Linked DNA regions of Sus scrofa. The protein of the gene in region 2 interacts with the protein of the main gene of each other region in a pairwise test. Links are inferred from orthologs where the notes say so. Each region holds a gene or a part of one and is shown on either strand. Other genes may lie near its edges.

Evidence for each region.
Region 1: the proteins of FLII (region 2) and LRRFIP1 interact in binary tests that used the Homo sapiens proteins (3 or more experiments, as listed by UniProt). The link is inferred for Sus scrofa from reciprocal best matches to the Homo sapiens genes FLII and LRRFIP1.

Annotation. Positions count from the first base shown.
Region 1 is NC_010457.5:137,418,990-137,422,788, reverse strand, and holds part of LRRFIP1 (leucine-rich repeat flightless-interacting protein 1), read right to left. Parts: intron 2,808-3,799; coding exon 2,715-2,807; intron 1,398-2,714; coding exon 1,256-1,397; intron 1-1,255.
Region 2 is NC_010454.4:60,474,146-60,478,545, reverse strand, and holds the start of FLII (protein flightless-1 homolog), read right to left. Parts: upstream 2,825-4,400; 5' UTR 2,760-2,824; coding exon 2,697-2,759; intron 1,155-2,696; coding exon 1,044-1,154; intron 755-1,043; coding exon 683-754; intron 1-682. Other genes in the region: MIEF2 (mitochondrial dynamics protein MID49), read left to right, coding at 3,011-3,233. UniProt on the Homo sapiens protein: Is a regulator of actin polymerization, required for proper myofibril organization and regulation of the length of sarcomeric thin filaments. It also plays a role in the assembly of cardiomyocyte cell adhesion complexes.

The DNA.
Region 1 (3,799 bases), on a different chromosome or scaffold from region 2:
TTTGATCCCTAGCCCGGAACTTTCATATCCCATGGGTGTGGCCATAAAAATAAAATAAAATAAAATAAACACAGATATTGGGAAGTTCCCATAATCGCTTACTGAGAGGGACAGGTGATGGAATACAGGTGGCAACCACTTGCAAAACAGATGTTTCTAGTTGCCTAAGTGTTCATGACACAACGGCTATCAAGGATTTAAAATGTGTATTTGAACAAGAGCCGCCAGTCAAATTCCAGCTGCTCAGGCAGCTGACACAAAGGGAGGATGGACCTTCCTTAATTTACTTTCGGTGACTTTTACACAGTGAGAAGAGCTGTGTTTCTTTAAGAGTCATCAAGACAATGAGGCAGCTTCCTGGGGAGCTGGGGCTTATAGGTTTCTTCATTTTCATGAAGAACTTTCCAAATGGAAACCAAAGCCATGGTCCCTGACCTTATTCCAGCCTCACCGTGAAAAGCCGGCACACAGCTGGTCACCACTGACCGGCAAGGCCTTATGTGCGGCTACAACTTCAGGCTGCCCACCAGATTCTGAAGGTTTATCCCAAAGCCAAGCACCATGACAAACATTCACTGGTGAATCTTTTCAGATATTTGAAGGTTGTATGAAATATTCCTACAATCTATCAGGTCCTGCAATTTATAGTCTTGCAGAAGCCCAAACATGACATGCAAAGGAACATCGCCCCCTGATGAAGGGGCAGACATAGTCAGGTTCTTGCTGGTGAGGAGAGCCCTTCTCGCTGGGCGCCACCCAGGGCTCTGTCCACCTGCTGTCCGTGGGCACCTCACGTGCTCAAAATGCTTCACGGTGCACAGGATGGGCAGTGCAGGCTCGCCCACGTGGTCAACCAACTCACTTTACAGCCTCTGCTGCTCTGATCGTTTGGCAATTCTGTAAGGCGAAAAGCCCTACCTGCCACCTACCTATCTGAGGAAAACCCAGAGAATGCTCTCGCTCGCTTAATTCCGAGATTATCTTCCTCGCACGCGCAGCCTCCCTGGGAGCTTTGAGGAGCAAAAGACACGAACTCTCAAGCCGCTGGTGGTGAGCATGAACAAAGGGACACGCCAGACAACACACGTGGGTGACTGCATCGTTGGGCAAGGAAGCGCCCACGGAGTGACAGGACGAAGGGCATGCTGGGTGGCGGTTAATCGGTCAGTGATGATTCTGTCCATTCTAACAGAGCATGGAGGGTGCATCAGGGCTGACCGGAAGACGAATGGCTCACAGCAAGGCCAGCACTTACCTAGCGTCCCGTCCCCGGGGGCCTGGGGAGCGCCGACCTCCTCCTTCGTCATCTTCGTAGACCCTGGGTGTTCCACACGGCTGAGAGGGTCTGAGGTCTCGCCATTGGTGGCTGTTTCTGAATTGAGTATTATCCCGTGTTTCTGGGAATAAAAACAGGCTCGTCGTAATACTCACCGAGTGATTCTAGGTTAAGCTGCGTTTTATAAGTAAGAACGAATAAAACCCCTGTGTTTCCCTAAGCAGGGAGAGACGCAGACGGAGCGGCTGGGCACACCCCTGTCAACAGGCCATCCACGCTCAGGGATGTGGGCTGGCTTCCTCCAGGGGCACTCCTGCCTCACGCCTTCCCATCCACGTCCGAACGTGCTGGTGACGAGACCCGTTCAATGCGCATCCTTTTGACCTAGACGTGGTGGCCTGCAGGCCGCCACGAAGCGGAGGGTCAGGCAAAGCCCTGTCAAGTGACCTTACTTCTAGAACCCTGCTTGTGTTCTTGGTCAGGACAGACAAAGACAGGAGCACGTACGTGTTCGGAAGAGAATGAACGAACCCTGGCGGCTAGAAGGTTGGCGGCATTCGAAAGACGTCTAACTCCTGCTCACTATGCGACAATGCACTTTTTTATTTATTTATTTTTTGGTCTTTCTTGGGCCACACCTGCGGCATGTGGAGGTTCCCAGGCTAGGGGTCCAATCGGAGCTGCAGCTGCCGGCCTACACCACAGTCACAGCCACGCCCGATCCTTAACCCACTGAGCGAGGCCAGGGATCGAACCCGTGTCCTCATGGACACCAGTCGGGTTCGTTGACCACTGAGCCACAACAGGACCTCCGCAAAGCACTTGAAACACGGCTACACTTCGCAAGGCCAGGAGGCCCCCCTCCCCACGGATCCCTCCCTCCCCCTCGTCCCCCCTGCTCTTTCTCCTGGGCTTGGAGGAACTCCCTGGCCCTGAAAGCCTGTTCCCTGCTGGCCGGAGGCTCTGGCCTTGACCCTTCCCTATGAGCAGCTGACAGTGAGGTTTCTGCTGGCAGCCACACCATCCAGGCTCAGCGCGGGGAGTTCGCCCAGAGCTCTGACCCCCAGTGCTGCCCGCTAGTTTATCTTACTCGTCTGGCCAGCAGCTGGAGACCCCATAACAAGGCCCCGCAGGATGTGGAACTTCCTTACAGTCCTGGAGAACTACACCGAGGACAAATTTAGACGGCCTATCGGAAAAACTCTTAGAAATCAGAGTTGCTGCCAAGATCCTATGTGCTTGTAAGCATCTAAAAGCAATATGGGCGAACCCACAGAATCCACACGGACGCCGCAGTTCTCGTGGGGTCAGTGAAGCTGCGGTCAGATTTTACTAACAGGCAAACATCCACAGCCTGAGATTAAGGGACATCACGACACACAGTCGTCCTTGAGAGTCCTGGGGTGGCTGTCGTCTCTCCTGGACTTCGGCTCCATACCTTTAATTCCTCTTTTAGCACGACTACTTCTTCTCTAAGATCGTCTCGTTCGCTCCTTATGGAATCAAAGAACTCTTTCTGCCTCTCTAACGCCTGAGTGTGTACAGAGCAGAGAGAGAGAAGATTCACACAGGTGAGCGGATGACATCCGAAGCAGGACCGAGAAGGAGGCTCCTACCATGCAACACACTAAGCGTCAAGGCACATTCCAGGCAAAGGGCTTGAAGACACACACACCGTGCAAGCACCAAGCGCGCTCTCAACTCAGGCCGCCGAGCAACAGCGCTGCGCGTGCCCTCCAGGACATCAGCATCCCGGAGGCACGGACGCCCCGTCCCACATCTCCTCCTGGCCTCGTTGGCAGGGGCACAGCAGAGAGAACCAACAGAAGCAGTGCACCCATTTAAATGAGGGGGAAAGAAGAAGAAGAAATGCTCGATAGCCCCCAGGGACAATTCTTTTAGTAACTTGGACTATTTCTGTAACTGATCCTCCGTCTCTGCTGTCACGGATAAAGAGTGGTCCTGAAGCAAACACACACGCACAGACAGGCACACAGAGCCCCGAACAAGTGTCAGCGAGCACATCAGAGCGAAGGCGGGGTGCAGCTTCGCGAGGCAAAGGCGTGGAAGGTTGCGCCAGCGTCTAGAGATCTCTACCGGGGCCGTGTGGTGTGAGGTCGCTGTATTCGGGGAGCCGTTGGGCATCACGGCCATCACCTCATTCAGTGGGTTCCCTTCTCCCTGCTCATCACTCCCAAGCACAGGTGGGCTGCCTCCTCTTTCCTTACGGAGGAGGGGGTCTGACATCTCCCTGGGGACCCTCAGGTGGGGATGCAGGGGTGCAGGACCTGCCACCCTACAGCTCCCTCGAACCCCTTTGAGAAAAAGCCCAGGCCACACCGGCCAGGGGATCCCAAGAGGTCAGAGCCTCCACGCCTGGGGGACCCTCCCAGAGCCTCACTCTGACCTGGGTGCCACTGGCCGCTCCCAGGCAGGCAGAGCATCAGCAGGTAATGCTGACAAAGCGAGTGCTTCCGTGCTGGGAGTCAGCTTCCAACACACAGGTAATGTCACTTTGTGCGT
Region 2 (4,400 bases):
CCCAAACCCGGTCAGAGCGCAGCCTGGGAGCACGTCTGCTTTCCTCTCCTCTCAGACCTGCAACCGCCTCACGCTTCAGACATGAGGTCAGTGCAGGATGGCTGAGCGGGGGGGACCAGGATCAGGACTCAAGTGACAGGAGGAGTAAGAGCGGCCACCGCTGCTGCCCGCCCCGCCCTAAAGCCCATGCGGGGCCACTCAGCAGTCACCACTGGACCACCTCGAAAAGCGGCAGGGACCTGTCCAAGGCCACCTAGCCGAGAAGAGACAGAACGCAGATGCGAACCGGGACAGCCCAGATTAAGGGCAGCTCACTTGAGCCATCATGAGCACCTCCCCTCCCAGCCCAACCCCAGCCTGCCCAGCTCTCCCACTGCCTGGCGGGCTGATCCTGGGCCAGGGACCTGCCTCCATGGCCAAGCATCCTCAGCTGTGAACTTGCTGGGCGCGGGGATTGTGTGAAAAAGCCCTTCTGGGAGGGGTGGCAAGGGGCTTAATCAGCATCAGCTGTTACGTAGTTGTTTACAACAGGTGGCATTTTGAATTTTTACCTTTTCCCTCACGGGTTACTTAACCCAAGGAAGCCTCCTTTCCCCCACTTCAGGAGAGGGTCCCTGAGCCTGACGCGGGGTGGACGGAGGCGCTGGTCCTGCCCTCACCCCCGCCCTAGGGCAGCACTCACCCGCAGCGATGGCAGGCTAGACAGATCCCCGTGAAGCGTGGTCAGGTGGTTGTGGCTTACTGACAGGTGCTCCTGGGCAGGGACAGGGGAGCAGAGGTTCAGCAGGGTGTGCGGGCTGTCCCTGTGTCCCTCCCTGCCCCAAGACCCACCCCCCCATGGCCACAGGGGCCCAGTCCACGCTGTAGCCTCCCTCCCTCCCAGACCCAGACTCTTCTTGCACTCCTCTGGGGACGGGATGCTCACTCCCTCCCCACTAGCCCTGCCTATGGCCGTTGGCATCCTCTGCGTCGTCCGCCCAGGCTCTGCCCGCCCGGCCAGCCCCATCCACAGGGACCCTCCCTGCTGGCCCAGAGATTCCTACCAGCTTCTGCAGGGCGGCCAACTCCTCCGGCAGGTAGCACAGGCCAGTGCGGTTGAGCTTCAGCCATCGCAGACTGGTCATGGCCTTGACATTCTCAGGGAAGTAGCCACCCTAGGTGGTACGTCATGATGACGCTGGTCCGGAAACGGGGTGCCCCTGCTCTACCACCCCCTGTGGCCTCCACTGCCCATGGGGGCTCTTGTGGAGCAAAAGTCATCTCTGACTGGTTGTGTGACCCTGGACAAGTCACTTTGCCACCCTGTGCTTTAATTTCCCACCCACAGGATTCATAAACCCCCCCCACTGGGGAAAAGCGTCATGACCACCAATTAACATCCAAGACACCTGCTGCCCTGAGACCCGTCTCTCTTGTTGGAACCTCAGCCCCAGGAAGCCTTGTTCCAGATGACACAGCCACTCCCAACTATGTGCTTAGATGGGCTCCATGCCTTTGCCTGGCATCCCGAACCTGCTGTGGCACCTGGGTTAGGGGTACCCCTCAGCTTCTCCAAGGTCCCACCTGTGCTCCCACCCTGCCGTCAGCACACAGCTCCCCAGCCCCGCCAGTCGCCCAGCCTCAGCCCCGTTGGTTAGTTCACTCATTCGCAGCTCTTCCCACAACCAAATGCCCACTCAGTACCCCCACCCTTGTGGCATGGGGCCTAGGCAGTGTGTGCTTTCACTGCCCTTGGCTGGTGTCCCCTTCCCCCTACGGCTACAACTCCCAGCTGGTGACTCAGACTCTCCCACTCTGTACAGGACACGTGGGGACCCCCAGACAGGATGGTGGGCAGGAGGCAGAGGAAAGTGGTATGGCTGCCTGGGCACAGGGTCAAGGGTGCACACAGGGAACAAGGCAGGAAGAAAAGCCTGCCTCCTCAGCCCTGGCCCGACCCCGGGGTCCCAGCCAAAGCCTGGGCCGCTGGGCCCTGCACACCCGGGCTGACACTATACTGACCCCAGCCGGAGTCTGCCCACTGGCCCATCCTGCCGAGGAGATGACCCTCTTGGAGCCAGGCTGACTCTGGCCTCTGCTGCTGCCCCGCCTCCTCTCCGGTGCCCAGCCCTGCCCGCCTGGTTCCCGGTCTCCAAAACAGCCTCCCTCATCCCCAGTGCCTGGTCCTTGAGACCCAGGTTGTTCAGTTCAGCAGCTGTTCAAACAACTGCCGCCTGGGTCTCGACACCTGCCAGACGCACTCGCCACGAAAACGCATCCCTGCCTTCGGAAGACTAATCTCAAGTGCCTTCCTCGAATGAGAAAGCGAGGCTCGGAGAAGGGAAGTGACTTGCCCAAGACCACACAGGATGGGGGTGGCAGGAGGGGGCAGGGCAGTGACGGCGGCGCGGCCGTGAGTCAGGGCTCCGCTCGGGCGTGTGACCTCACAGGGGCGGGGAGGGAGGGCTGGGGAGGCGGGGGCACAGGCTCCCGACCCGGGCCGGCTGGGTGGGGCCCGGCGCCTGGACGGAGCCCGGTGGGGGCTCTCCGCGCGCGCCCGCGGCGTTCTGCCTGGGTGCCCGCCGCGGGCGCGGGACGGAGGCGCGGCGGTCGGCTCGGGACGGGGCCCAGGCCCAGCGAGCCGGTCCGCGGGTCCGGGGCCCGCAGGAAGCGGAGGGGCGGGCTGGGGGAGGCCCGGCCGCCGCCCGGGGGCTCACCTTGAAGTCGTTGCCGCTGAGGTCCACGCCGCGCACGAACGGAAGCACCCCGGTGGCCTCCATGGCGGCGCAGCTCGGCAGGCTGCGGGGCGCGGGCGCGGGCGGCCGGCGGCGCTGGGCGGGGCGGGGCGGGGCGCCGCGGGGGCGGGGCGGGGCGCGCGTCGGCCCCGCCCCTCGGCCTGCCGCCGCCGCCGCCGGGCCCTCTGCTCCGGACTCGGCCTCGGCGCCCGAGGCTCAACAGCCGGCGCTTGCTGGCTCCCGGGCCCCCGGTGGCTCGGGACCCAGGCCTGGGCGCACGGGGCAGCGGGAGTTGGATGCTAGGGTCCTCAGCCAGAGCCGCGGGCCTGCCTCCCGTGAAGCGCTCCCTGGGGCGCGGCGCCCGCGCTTGGAGGCGACTCCGAGTGCAGTTACGTTCTCATTCGTCCCCCGAGGGAGGCGTCCCCTGGCTGGCACATGGCAGCCCCAGTAGGCGACAAGGCCGCTGTGCCCTTCACGAGAAAGGCAGCAGCAGACCACAGAGACCCAGAGGCCCGCAGGGTGCGTGCCAGCTAGAAGGAAGCTCGCCTTCTCCCCCGTCGCGGTTGGGAGCGCGGCCCTGTCCCTTTAAGAAGCAGCGCGCCGGGAAGCCCCGCCCCGAGGAGCGCGCGGCCGCCATTGGCTGAGCGCGCCTCAGGGCGGCACGTGGGCGCAGGCTTCGAGCGCTCCGATTGGAGCCAGAGCCTGCCGGTCTGCTCGCCGGGCACGCGCCCGCCCCCCGGGCCTCCGCGTTCGGTTCCCGGGTCTTTCACGTTCCACTCCCGGACGGCCCCGGGGTGCGCGGCCCGAGCAGGCCCCCTGTGTCCGCCGGCAGGTGTGCCGAAGCCGCGACGCAGGTACGGCCAGAGCGTGGGGGCGTGGCCTCCCTGGGTGCGCTCTCCGGCCGGGAAAGGGCCACTGGTGAAGGGCTGGGGCTGGCCTCCGAGCTCGGGTCCTGTCTGGATGGGTCCTATCCTGGGTCCATCCTGGCGTCCCCAGGGCCTCGGTGCCCTCGCCAGCCGGGGCTTGTAGGAGGAGGGGAGGCCCGGCCGCGCCCTCTCCCCTTCGCTGGTTGGGGTGTGCGCAGCCCCCTCAGGAGCTGGGCGGTGACCCAGGTCAGGCAGGGGGGCGGTGGCAGTACTCATCTCCGACGAGGAAGCCTTCCAAGGGCCATGCTGGGTCAACCCCGGCCGTCTTTCCTATTTTTAGTTTGGGAGCGAGGCGTGGGTGCGGGGCTGCAGGCCCTACCTGGCAGCTGAGCCGGGCACCCGCCCAAAGCAGGGCGGCCAGAAGTCCTTGGGGTTGAGTTGGCTCTGAGCTAAGAGTCATCTGCTCAGGCGTCCTTAGCTGTCCTGCCGGGCCGTCTGACTGGTGTCCTGGGCTTGTCTCTTGGTCACACCCTCTTCACTCGGTCCCACCCCAGCTCATCCCTTCCAGGCCACTTACTTTAAACCTTTCCTAGCGCACCTGCACCACTTTGCAGATGAGCAAACGCAGGGCCTCGGATCCACAGCTACCTTCCATGGCCTGGCCTCCCAGCAGCCGAGGCCTCCCAACCCAGCATTGTCCCAAACCCGGGAGGCCCCTGTCCAGCCCTGCTTGGAGTCTTGAGTCACCTTGCTAGCTGCCCTCACAGTGGGGCCTTTAACCTCCTCTGGCACATACCTGTTGCAGGTAGCTCCTGCCCCC